Drosophila melanogaster: one gene and its partner. The protein of the gene in region 1 interacts with the protein of each later gene in a pairwise test. Each region holds a gene or a part of one and is shown in the gene's direction. Other genes may lie near its edges.

Evidence for each region.
Region 2: the proteins of CG34324 (region 1) and Mst87F interact in a two-hybrid assay, tested with the Drosophila melanogaster proteins (one large-scale study listed by BioGRID).

Annotation. Positions count from the first base shown.
Region 1 is NC_004354.4:13,455,071-13,460,567, reverse strand, and holds CG34324 (uncharacterized protein), read left to right. Parts: upstream 1-2,904; 5' UTR 2,905-2,956; coding exon 2,957-2,966; intron 2,967-3,061; coding exon 3,062-3,855; 3' UTR 3,856-4,034; downstream 4,035-5,497.
Region 2 is NT_033777.3:13,825,707-13,829,665, reverse strand, and holds Mst87F (Male-specific RNA 87F), read left to right. Parts: upstream 1-1,657; 5' UTR 1,658-1,834; intron 1,835-1,979; exon of another isoform or gene 1,980-2,087; intron 2,088-2,177; 5' UTR 2,178-2,195; coding exon 2,196-2,366; 3' UTR 2,367-2,515; downstream 2,516-3,959.

The DNA of each region.
Region 1 (5,497 bases):
GTATTTTGTATATATTTTTCCCATAGTGATCGTAAGACTTTTAGCTTGTATTTTATTTTCGGTTTCGTTGTTACTTTGGTTCTTACTTTTTCTTGTAGATTTCATAAGATTTCCGGTCACTTCACTAATGAGTTTTACAATGCCCCGTAGCACAGAGTCTCGAGCCCTGGAAATTGTTGATACAATGTCCTTGCACAAACAGTCCTTAAATCCAATCCTTCCTTGGACAAACAGTCATGTGTGTGTGTGTGAGTGTGTGCTTAATTTAATTTCCCATTCTTCATCTCGGTCTGGTGGTTGGGCAAGTGTGTGTGAGAAGAAAGAAGGGCATTTCCATTGAGCCGTGTCTCTGTTTGTCTTCTGTTGGGCGAGGTCATCTTTTACGAAGGAAGCTGCCTCCGCTTAAGGAAAAACTTTACAACAGCTAAGTGCTTAATTTATGTTGCTCGACTAATTCATTGAGATGGTCAGAGATAAGTTGAAAAGTCTCCACTCGAAAACCTGACAAAAGGCCGAGGTGAGGCTGCCACTTTTAGCAGCAGGGTAAATAATTCGGTTGTCGTGTGTGTGTGAGCTGCCGGAAAAATGCATGAATGCTTAAAATATATATTTTTAATTCAATTTGCAACGTAACTCGATAAGATATGCAGTAGTAGAGGCAGAAAATGCACTCTTTTCGGGGACTAATGGATTATAAAAAACGATACAATGGTGAAACTTTTTGAGCCAATGCCATTCGCTTTATTTTGTACATTTTACTTAACTTATCGAGAACTCGCCGCTTGTCCCCAGAGTTTTTAATGGGAAAGAAAGCTGGGAAACTTTTACTTCTGCTCCAGCAGCTTTTAAGTGAACGTATAATTATTATAGATGCTTCAAAACCAATCTGAAGTTTATGGGCGAACAAAAGAGTGAAATAATCTTAAGACCCTGGTAATGATTAAACTCCTTAAAGTTTCGGGCCACTTTCTCGTCTGGAAAGTTTGCTCGACTATCGCCTAAATCACAGCGAACTTTTTAGCCGCAAAGTGATTCATTCATAATCTAGAAGAAACTCAACTATTTTGTGCATATCTCCGCCTAAACCAAACTGGCCAAAGTTCATTCATAATCTGAGATTGTTTCGCCAACTATTCGCATATACTTCATATATTTAGATATATATGTATGTATGTATATATATCTTTATATAAATATATAAAAGCGTACATAAACACTTTAGCACACTGGCAGATGAAGAAAGGCGGATTTATCATAAACTTGGCTGCTTTTTAATATTCACATCACACGCTGCGTATGAGTAATTTTTGCCCGGCAAATGGCCAAGTCGTGTTTGTTGGCGAGGGTGTAGCTTTACGAGTGCTAAGTGAATGAAACAAAGTGAATTTAACTCAATCCAATTGAACCATAACGATTGAAAGTTTTCGGGGCTTATGCGGGCTGTAAAGCACTCCCCACACTTTGAATATAAATTAAAATCCAATGCACATCATTTCGCAGCTTCAACAATACCCAACTCAAAAATTGTAAAACAAAAAAAGGAGTCTGAAAAGGGCACCTCCGAAATCCGAAAACAGATGTCGGAATATAAATGCGTGCATAAATATTCGCCATGCGACAACAATTGATTCTGTTTGCTTATGCCGTTTGGAAATATTCTACTGTTTAAATAAATAATTATTTACGATCGCAGTGCAAGGGTTCAAAGGGCACGATTGGGTGGTGAAATCAAGGATATCACGTGATGGAGCTGAATGTGGACAGATTTGAAACCATGTCATATTGCTATGCTTTGATTCAATTGTGAATAAATAAGAGAAAGCTCAATAGCAGATTTTTAAAATAAATAATTAAAATATGTATAGATATACTAAACAAAAATAGGTGCTACATTTGAATTTGTTTTAAAATGAATCGCTGTTCGCTTGGCCCAGTAAACTTCTCTATCACTGGGTGATTGGTATAAAAATCGCTCATAAATCTTAACTGCAACAACCATATTTAATTACAAAACTTTTGCCAACTGTCCAGCGCTTTTCAACGCCCCCCCTACACCACCAGCTGTCCAGGATATGCGGGACACACGGGGATATGGTGGTCCTTTTTGTTTTTTGTTTTCACAACCGCGCTGCAGGCAAGGTGGACTTTCCGAGGGGCGGAAGTGGCAATGCGGAGGTTTTCATGCCGAAATTATTACGCATACCCACACACAGATGCCCCCTTAGGCTCTTTGCCATTTTTATCGACTGCCAAATGGCCAACACTTGTCCACTCATCCGCTCTTGGCCACATGGCCTCTTGGCCACATGGCCACTTGGCCTAACACTTCCGGTCCGGGGCCATAAACCGAAATCTCTTGTTTGCACTGGCCCGGAGTCAAGAAGCAATTGCCAAAAAAAAAAAAAGGAACAGAAAGCAAATGGGGGGCCGGGCCTGCGAAATCAGTTAACAGGCAATTTCAACTATTTTACAGATTGCGTACGGAATGGCCAAATGAACCGGGCCAAATGTCAATGCCATCAGTGTATGTTCGAATGGAGATCACTGTGGGAAAACTCTTTCAAAAAAACACAGTATTAAGTCTAAAAAATGACATATGTAACAATATATATTTGAAAACGAACATTAAGCATGATTGTTTTCCCCTCAAAGAATAAGTATTATATTACAGCAAAAAATAAAACAACTGCGAAGTAAAAAACAAAACATTTTGCTTACATGAACAAAACACGATACCCCAAAACCTACAACCAGACCAATTTTGGTTAATTAGCAGAGTGCCGAGAACCTCGGGGATCATGGACCATGTACCACTCAACAGATCTCAAGTGCTTTCCCTGTTCCACAGCCAGATAAAATCTGCAACTGGGCGATATAAAAAGAGCCCCGAGTGCAGCTAACATCATTCGCTAACCAGCAGAGAAGTTGAAACTGCAGAGGCATTATCGAACGCAACATGAGAGTTTGTGGGTAGCTCCGATCCAAGATCCTCCATAAAAAAAAAAAAAAACAAGGAGTTTCTTCTTATTTTTATTTTTTTTTTTTTTGTGCTTTATCCTAGACCACTTGCTGCTGATTGGATTAGTTTTGGCGACTATCGCCGGCGGTCATGAGGCTTTGGCACATCCGCCTAGAGCCGATACCCCACCGTGTACTCCTCCCCCGGATCCGTGCACAACAACAACATGCCCACCACCACCGCCGTGCACCACAACAACATGTCCACCACCAGAACCACCACCGTGCACCACAACAACATGCCCACCACCAGAACCACCACCGTGCACCACAACAACATGCCCACCACCACCACCTCCGTGCATTACTACAACGTGCCCACCACCACCACCACCTCCACCACCACCACCACCACCACCGTGCACCAGGACACCACCTCCATGCACCAGGACACCACCTCCATGCACCAGGACACCACCTCCATGCACCAGGACACCTCCTCCATGCACCAGGACACCACCCCCCTGCACCAGGACACCTCCATGCACCACCACTCCTCCCTGCACCCCACCGTGCACCACCACCAAGCCCTGCACCACAACCGTTTGCACAACACCCAAGAGCGACAACGCTGGGCCAATTGTCGACGGAAATGAAGAACAGCCCGATATAGACAATCCAGTTGCTATTGCCCAGGTGCTGATCTCGCGCCACGATTGCCGTGGCCAGGAGGACGGAACCTTCCTCGCCGACGTGCGTCACTGTCGCCGCTACTACGTGTGCAACCGTCAGAGGTCGAAGCGCCAGAACTGCCCCAACGGCTACTGGTTCGATCGCGAGCTGAAGGCCTGCCGACTGGCCAGTACCGTCAACAACTGTGACGCCAGGCGCAACTGATGTTGCTGCTGCCAATGTGGCCATGCGCACAAGCAAAGCAAATTGGCTTTAAAGAATTTTTTTTTTTTTCACTATTTCAAAGAACATAGAAGCAAAGCAAGTGTGAATTAATTGTAAACTATGCCAAAGCAATAAAGTAAATATTTCACCGATTATACAATAAATAAGAGTGAGCATTCATATTTGAGTTGAACATTAGTTGCGTGCAAAACAGTGTGACCGAATATTGCCAGCACAGGGTTACTTTGATCAATTTGAACTATGCAGCTGTGTCGGCCCTTTGATTTACTTTCGAAATCAATCAAAGCCTTTATTAATATATAGCTAAATATAGAACACGAACGATTAAGCTGTCTGGCCCGCTCTCCAATTGTCATCAATTTGCCCGGAGGCAAAATAAAGAAAACTTTCAATCAGCCGAACAAAAATTGCGAAAAAGCAAAACAAGCTCATAAATTTGTCAACACTTTTGGAGCGACATCGACTGCGAGTGGAAGTGGTAGTGGATGGTGGTAGTGCCACTCGGTCGGGTGGGGGTCAGAAAAGTATGCCACAGTTTGGTGCACATCCATATCCGTTTTATAGGCGTCAACTTTTCGGTCGAGGACTGGAAGGGCCAACAACAACAGCAATAACAGTGCGACATTTGTGAGTTAGTGTCTGTGTGGCATTACTATGTCAGGCTATTTATTATATCCTGCCACATACCACCGCCGAGCCTGTGCCACCCACATTGACTGTGAACTGTGGCCTGTGGACCATGGTGCTGGTGATGGTGCAGGGCATTTGACAGGGCAAAGAATTTATTTGTCGATAAGCATCCTTGATATTTTACGTTGGCGGTTCCCAAGTGGGCCCGGAAAATCTCGCGGAAATCTCCCCAAGTCACTAAATCAGCCAGGGAAAAATAGTCCTTGATGGTTATTCATGGCTTGTTGTAGCTTTTCCTTCAAATTGTTACTATACGCTGATGTATATCTCGCATTTCCGTAAATGTGAATTGCGCAAATGTCTTCATAAATGTATGGCTTACGAAAATATGCTGCGAACGATTCGAAAGAACTTTAACTTTACTTAAATCCCACATAAAAAAATACTTACTGCAAAAAAAAAAAAACGAGACGCGAGTCTGCCCTTACATTTCATATAATTAGTGTGAACAAATGCGTTATATGTAAAGGCATGCCAGTGTGGCAAGTAGTTAAATATTTCACAAAAACGCTTTGTCTTTCCAGCGTTCGTATGCAATGTTTCACGTGTTTTTACCCTGAAAATGATTTTCTCTTTTTTCTTTTTTGCTAATATCTGCAGGTATTTTTCCCCCACAAACCAACAAAGGCGTAGGAAAATACTAAAAATAATAACTATAAAAGTGCTCAAGTTCATTGTATTCTTAGAAGAGAAAGGTGCATCTTAAAATGAAAAGTAATGAACCCATTTACTGCATAACCATGAAACAAACTATTTCCTTTAGTTATATGGACATGCTCTAGGGAAAATATGTTTAAGGTTCAAGAAATATAAGCAGTGCACTTAAAAACTGCATTTTTTTCGTCGCTGCGTTCGGTGTTTTTTATGTATTACATTCTTGCTCCTTTGTACGTATAATATTATTATTATTTTTGGTTTTTTTCTTTTTTTT
Region 2 (3,959 bases), on another chromosome or scaffold:
ACTATGTATGTATGTACATATATCCGACTTTCAGAACTGCGCCTTACTTTTCCTTTTTAGCGATCAGCTGCCACTTTTTAGGGGGCGGCACGTGCTTTCTTCACTTTCGTCGGCTTCTCGGGTTACCTGAATCCGCCGTTTACCCTTTCGGTCGCTCCTCACCTTTGGCCCCATTGACGGCCACGCCCCTAAAGTCATTATGGCGCACACTTAGGGATAGGCGGATATTGATTTCCCTGGGCTGACTGGCAGTACTCAGCGCTTTCCAGCCGATGATGATGACATCTGCGTGTGCCCATTGTGTTTCACTTTTCATCAAACTTATATTAATAAGTTGATGCGAGGGGCCATAATTAAAGCGAATTCGATATTTCCGGCCGGAGGAAAGACATTTGGTTCACTGAACCCAATAAAAATCCTTGAACTCCCGTCGCCAGACGAAATACAAAATATTTGTATACATATGTATTGCCAATAATCTATTTCAAACAAAGGCCAGCCACAAATATGAACGAAAAAACTAAGTTAGAGCAGCGTCTGCTGCCCTTTTGGCGGCACCCTCACAAAATTATTGACCAGAGTTCCATCCATCTCGAGTTTGAAAAAAAAAAACCAGAGAGCCACAGAGAGAAAAATTCAATGAAAGTCATTTAACCACATTTAGGTGGTAAGAAAATAATTATTTAAAATCTGCTACCGCTTTCCGATTCGATTGAGACGCGCTTCGTCACTAAGTTCGCTACTAGATTTATGTAACTAAGTTTGATTCACTTTATATTAGACACTTTGTAATATAAGCTAGATTTGTATTTAATATATCTTACTCTACTCTTGTTCACATTTCTTTGAGACGCCTTTCGTCACTACGCTATATATTTTTTCTATGATAGTGATTTTTCACCGTGCCGAAACAGAACGACTTTGAGTTGGACTTGTCCGTCTCCTCGGATGCGAGATTCTACCCAAATATTTCTGCTAGAAGGGAGAGGACTTCTGTGCGGTTTGACGACGGGGTTTTTGCTTCGGTTTCTGCCTCTGCTGATCGACACACACACAAATACATACATACATTCTAATCAACATGCGGCAAAACATATAATTCGAATTTTTGATATTTCGCCCGACCATTTTGCGAAGAAAATTGCATTTAAACGCCTATTATGCGCTTTTTATTTGCAACCCATACTTTTCTGCCCGAATGCTCCGGCTGACTCAGTCATGCACAAATACAAATCATTGTATAATCATTGTGTATAACACTAGGGTTCCATTTTGGAGGCTGGCGAGCTCTGTCAACTGGTCCACTAGGCTTCCTGCTTTTCGGGAGTTAATTAAATCCGAAATCGTAAAATCGTTAGCAAATGAAATAAATTGCGCTCAATTACACCGAGTGACATCCAAGGCGCAATCGCTGGTGATTGACCTCTTTCAATGCGACGACATTCTTGGCTCGATTCGGCTGGGGAAAAAAACCAAGAAAAAACAAAATAAAAAACATAAGCAACACAAGTCTTCGGTCAGATAATGAACTTAATATACACTTGCATATATAGTATACCCGTTCAGCCCCGATACCCGGATTCTCGGCAATCGGCAATCGGCTATGCGCCATGCACTTAATCAAAAAGTACGACAAAATCAAGAGTAAACAAAAGTGCAGCGCAGAACTCGACTTGAGAACCGGCAGCGATTCGAACTTCAGCCGGGTGCAATGAACACATGATCCGACAAAACAAAAATTTAAATCTCATTTACCTCGTTTATATGTTACAGTGCACTGGAAAAATAGTGGCAACTTGATGCGTTCCTACCAAGTTGGATGATAACTACATAGGTAGGATCGAAATATAAAGGTTAATTCACATGAAGATTGAGCATTTCCCTACTTACAATACAATCATTATAAGCTTTAGCCAATGCTTTAAACAAAATATTTTATATAGTATCCTTTGCCTCTTCAGTCCGACTTGTCAAACCGATATACCTGTGCGTAACCAGATTTTGTATCATTATTATTTGTCCTTTCGGCCTGAACACATCAAAATTTGTCGTCTAGTCTCAAATTATTTCTTTTTGTTCGGTTCAAAGTGAGTGAAAATAAGTGAAAATTTACAAAAATGAAAATGTGTAAAAAATTCCTATGGCATATCATTTAAACGTACCTTTTCTCCCTTCAGAACTTTTACGAATTAATCATGTGCTGCGGACCCTGTGGACCCTGCTGCGGACCTTGCTGCGGACCCTGCTGTGGTCCATGCGGACCATGCGGAGGAGGATGTGGACCCTGCTATGGACCGAATGTCTGCGGACCATGCTATGCCTGTGGACCCTGTGGCGGCTGCTATTGTGGATACCCTTGCTGCTAGACAGTTGCAACTGGCCATGTCCAAGAAGGGTTCACCAGAACACCAAGACGATAGGATAGAACCTATCCCTATTTCATCCTCGTATTCATCTAATATTCGTGAACCACAAATATAGGTATTTGAGACAATAAATATGAGGTGTAAGCTTCAAGAAGGTTTGGTTTTTGATTAGTGATAATAGTCAAATGCAATTTGCTTAGCCAAATATCTGATTTTAGAACACAGATACAGATGTTTAGACGCAAATGCGACCTGAATTAGAATCGATCCGCAGTCTTCTAATGCGATGTGGTCGACCTTGACGTTTCGCCGAGAGTTTATTGTCCTTTCAATAGAACACGCTAAATAAAACTTATTTAAGCAGGTACATACATATTTAACCCGCACACAGTCATGCATGTTCTTGTGTTTTTGTTTTTATTTTTATTTTTATTTTACTTTTGTGTATATTTACTGCACTAATTCTGCGACGAACTAGTTTCGGCACAGCGGATTCCGATTCCTGAATTCCGAGCGGTATTAAACGACGGCGAAGCGCAAAAAGTCAACAAAGTGCATATAAAAAATATATTTAAATTTACCCGAATGCCGCCGTCTCCAGTCGCCGATCCGATCCCCCTGGAGATGACCGCCCCCCCCCCCCCACCCCTTTTTGGCCATATTTCTGGCCAACTCCAGCCAATCCGAAACCATCATCAGCTGACTGGATCTACGCGCGCGCCTTTTTAATTGCATCGTTTTTATTTGTGCGACTTTATGCAAATCAAACAAGTTCGCTGCCAAAATATTGCTGTTCGCGTTGATTTGCTGCTGCTGCCTGTGTTTGCCTTAAATTATTTATTTGTGTGTTGTGTGGGACGATACTCTTGTAGACAGTCGGTGTAAGTAGTTTGGCTGGTCAAAGCGCTTTGTTGTGGCGGCGCAAACCAAAATACGTCGAAAAAACACGCCGAAACTAAATATAAACACCAGCTTAAACCAAACATGTTTCATATGTCTTTTTGGGCGGGGGAATTTTTCTATGTATTGCTAGCTAGCTGCTTTTATTATTGATTAGCCAAATTGCCGATAATTAGTTTGACTTTGAACTTGATTTAGAGCTTGTTTGAAGCCGCGCCAGCAAATGTGTCAATACACACGGTTTTCCGATCGGTCCAAAGAACGAATTAGTATGGGAACTTAACTCATATCAATCAAACAAGATTTAGGTTCGTTAGCTTCTGTCATTGTGGGCTAAAATATTCGCATTAAATTAAGGCAGAAGTCAATTTGTGTCAGCCCTTTAAGTTTTAACGAAAGATTTGAAATTACGCAACTTACTCCGTAGACATCTAATTTTAAATATTTCTAAATACAACAATGTGTGCATTTTATGTACTTTTAGATTCCTCCTTGTCAAGTTTGCATGTATTATTTATACATATTTATTTATATTATTATTATTATAGCTCACACAATCACCCCAATCCAATCTCCTGCTCTTGTTATCCAATTTCCAGGCTCTTTTTTTCACTGGATAACTGGCACTGAGTTTCCCCATTCATGCCCTATTTGCAACCCAGTGAGTAAGTGGATTGGTTCAGCTTAGAGCGT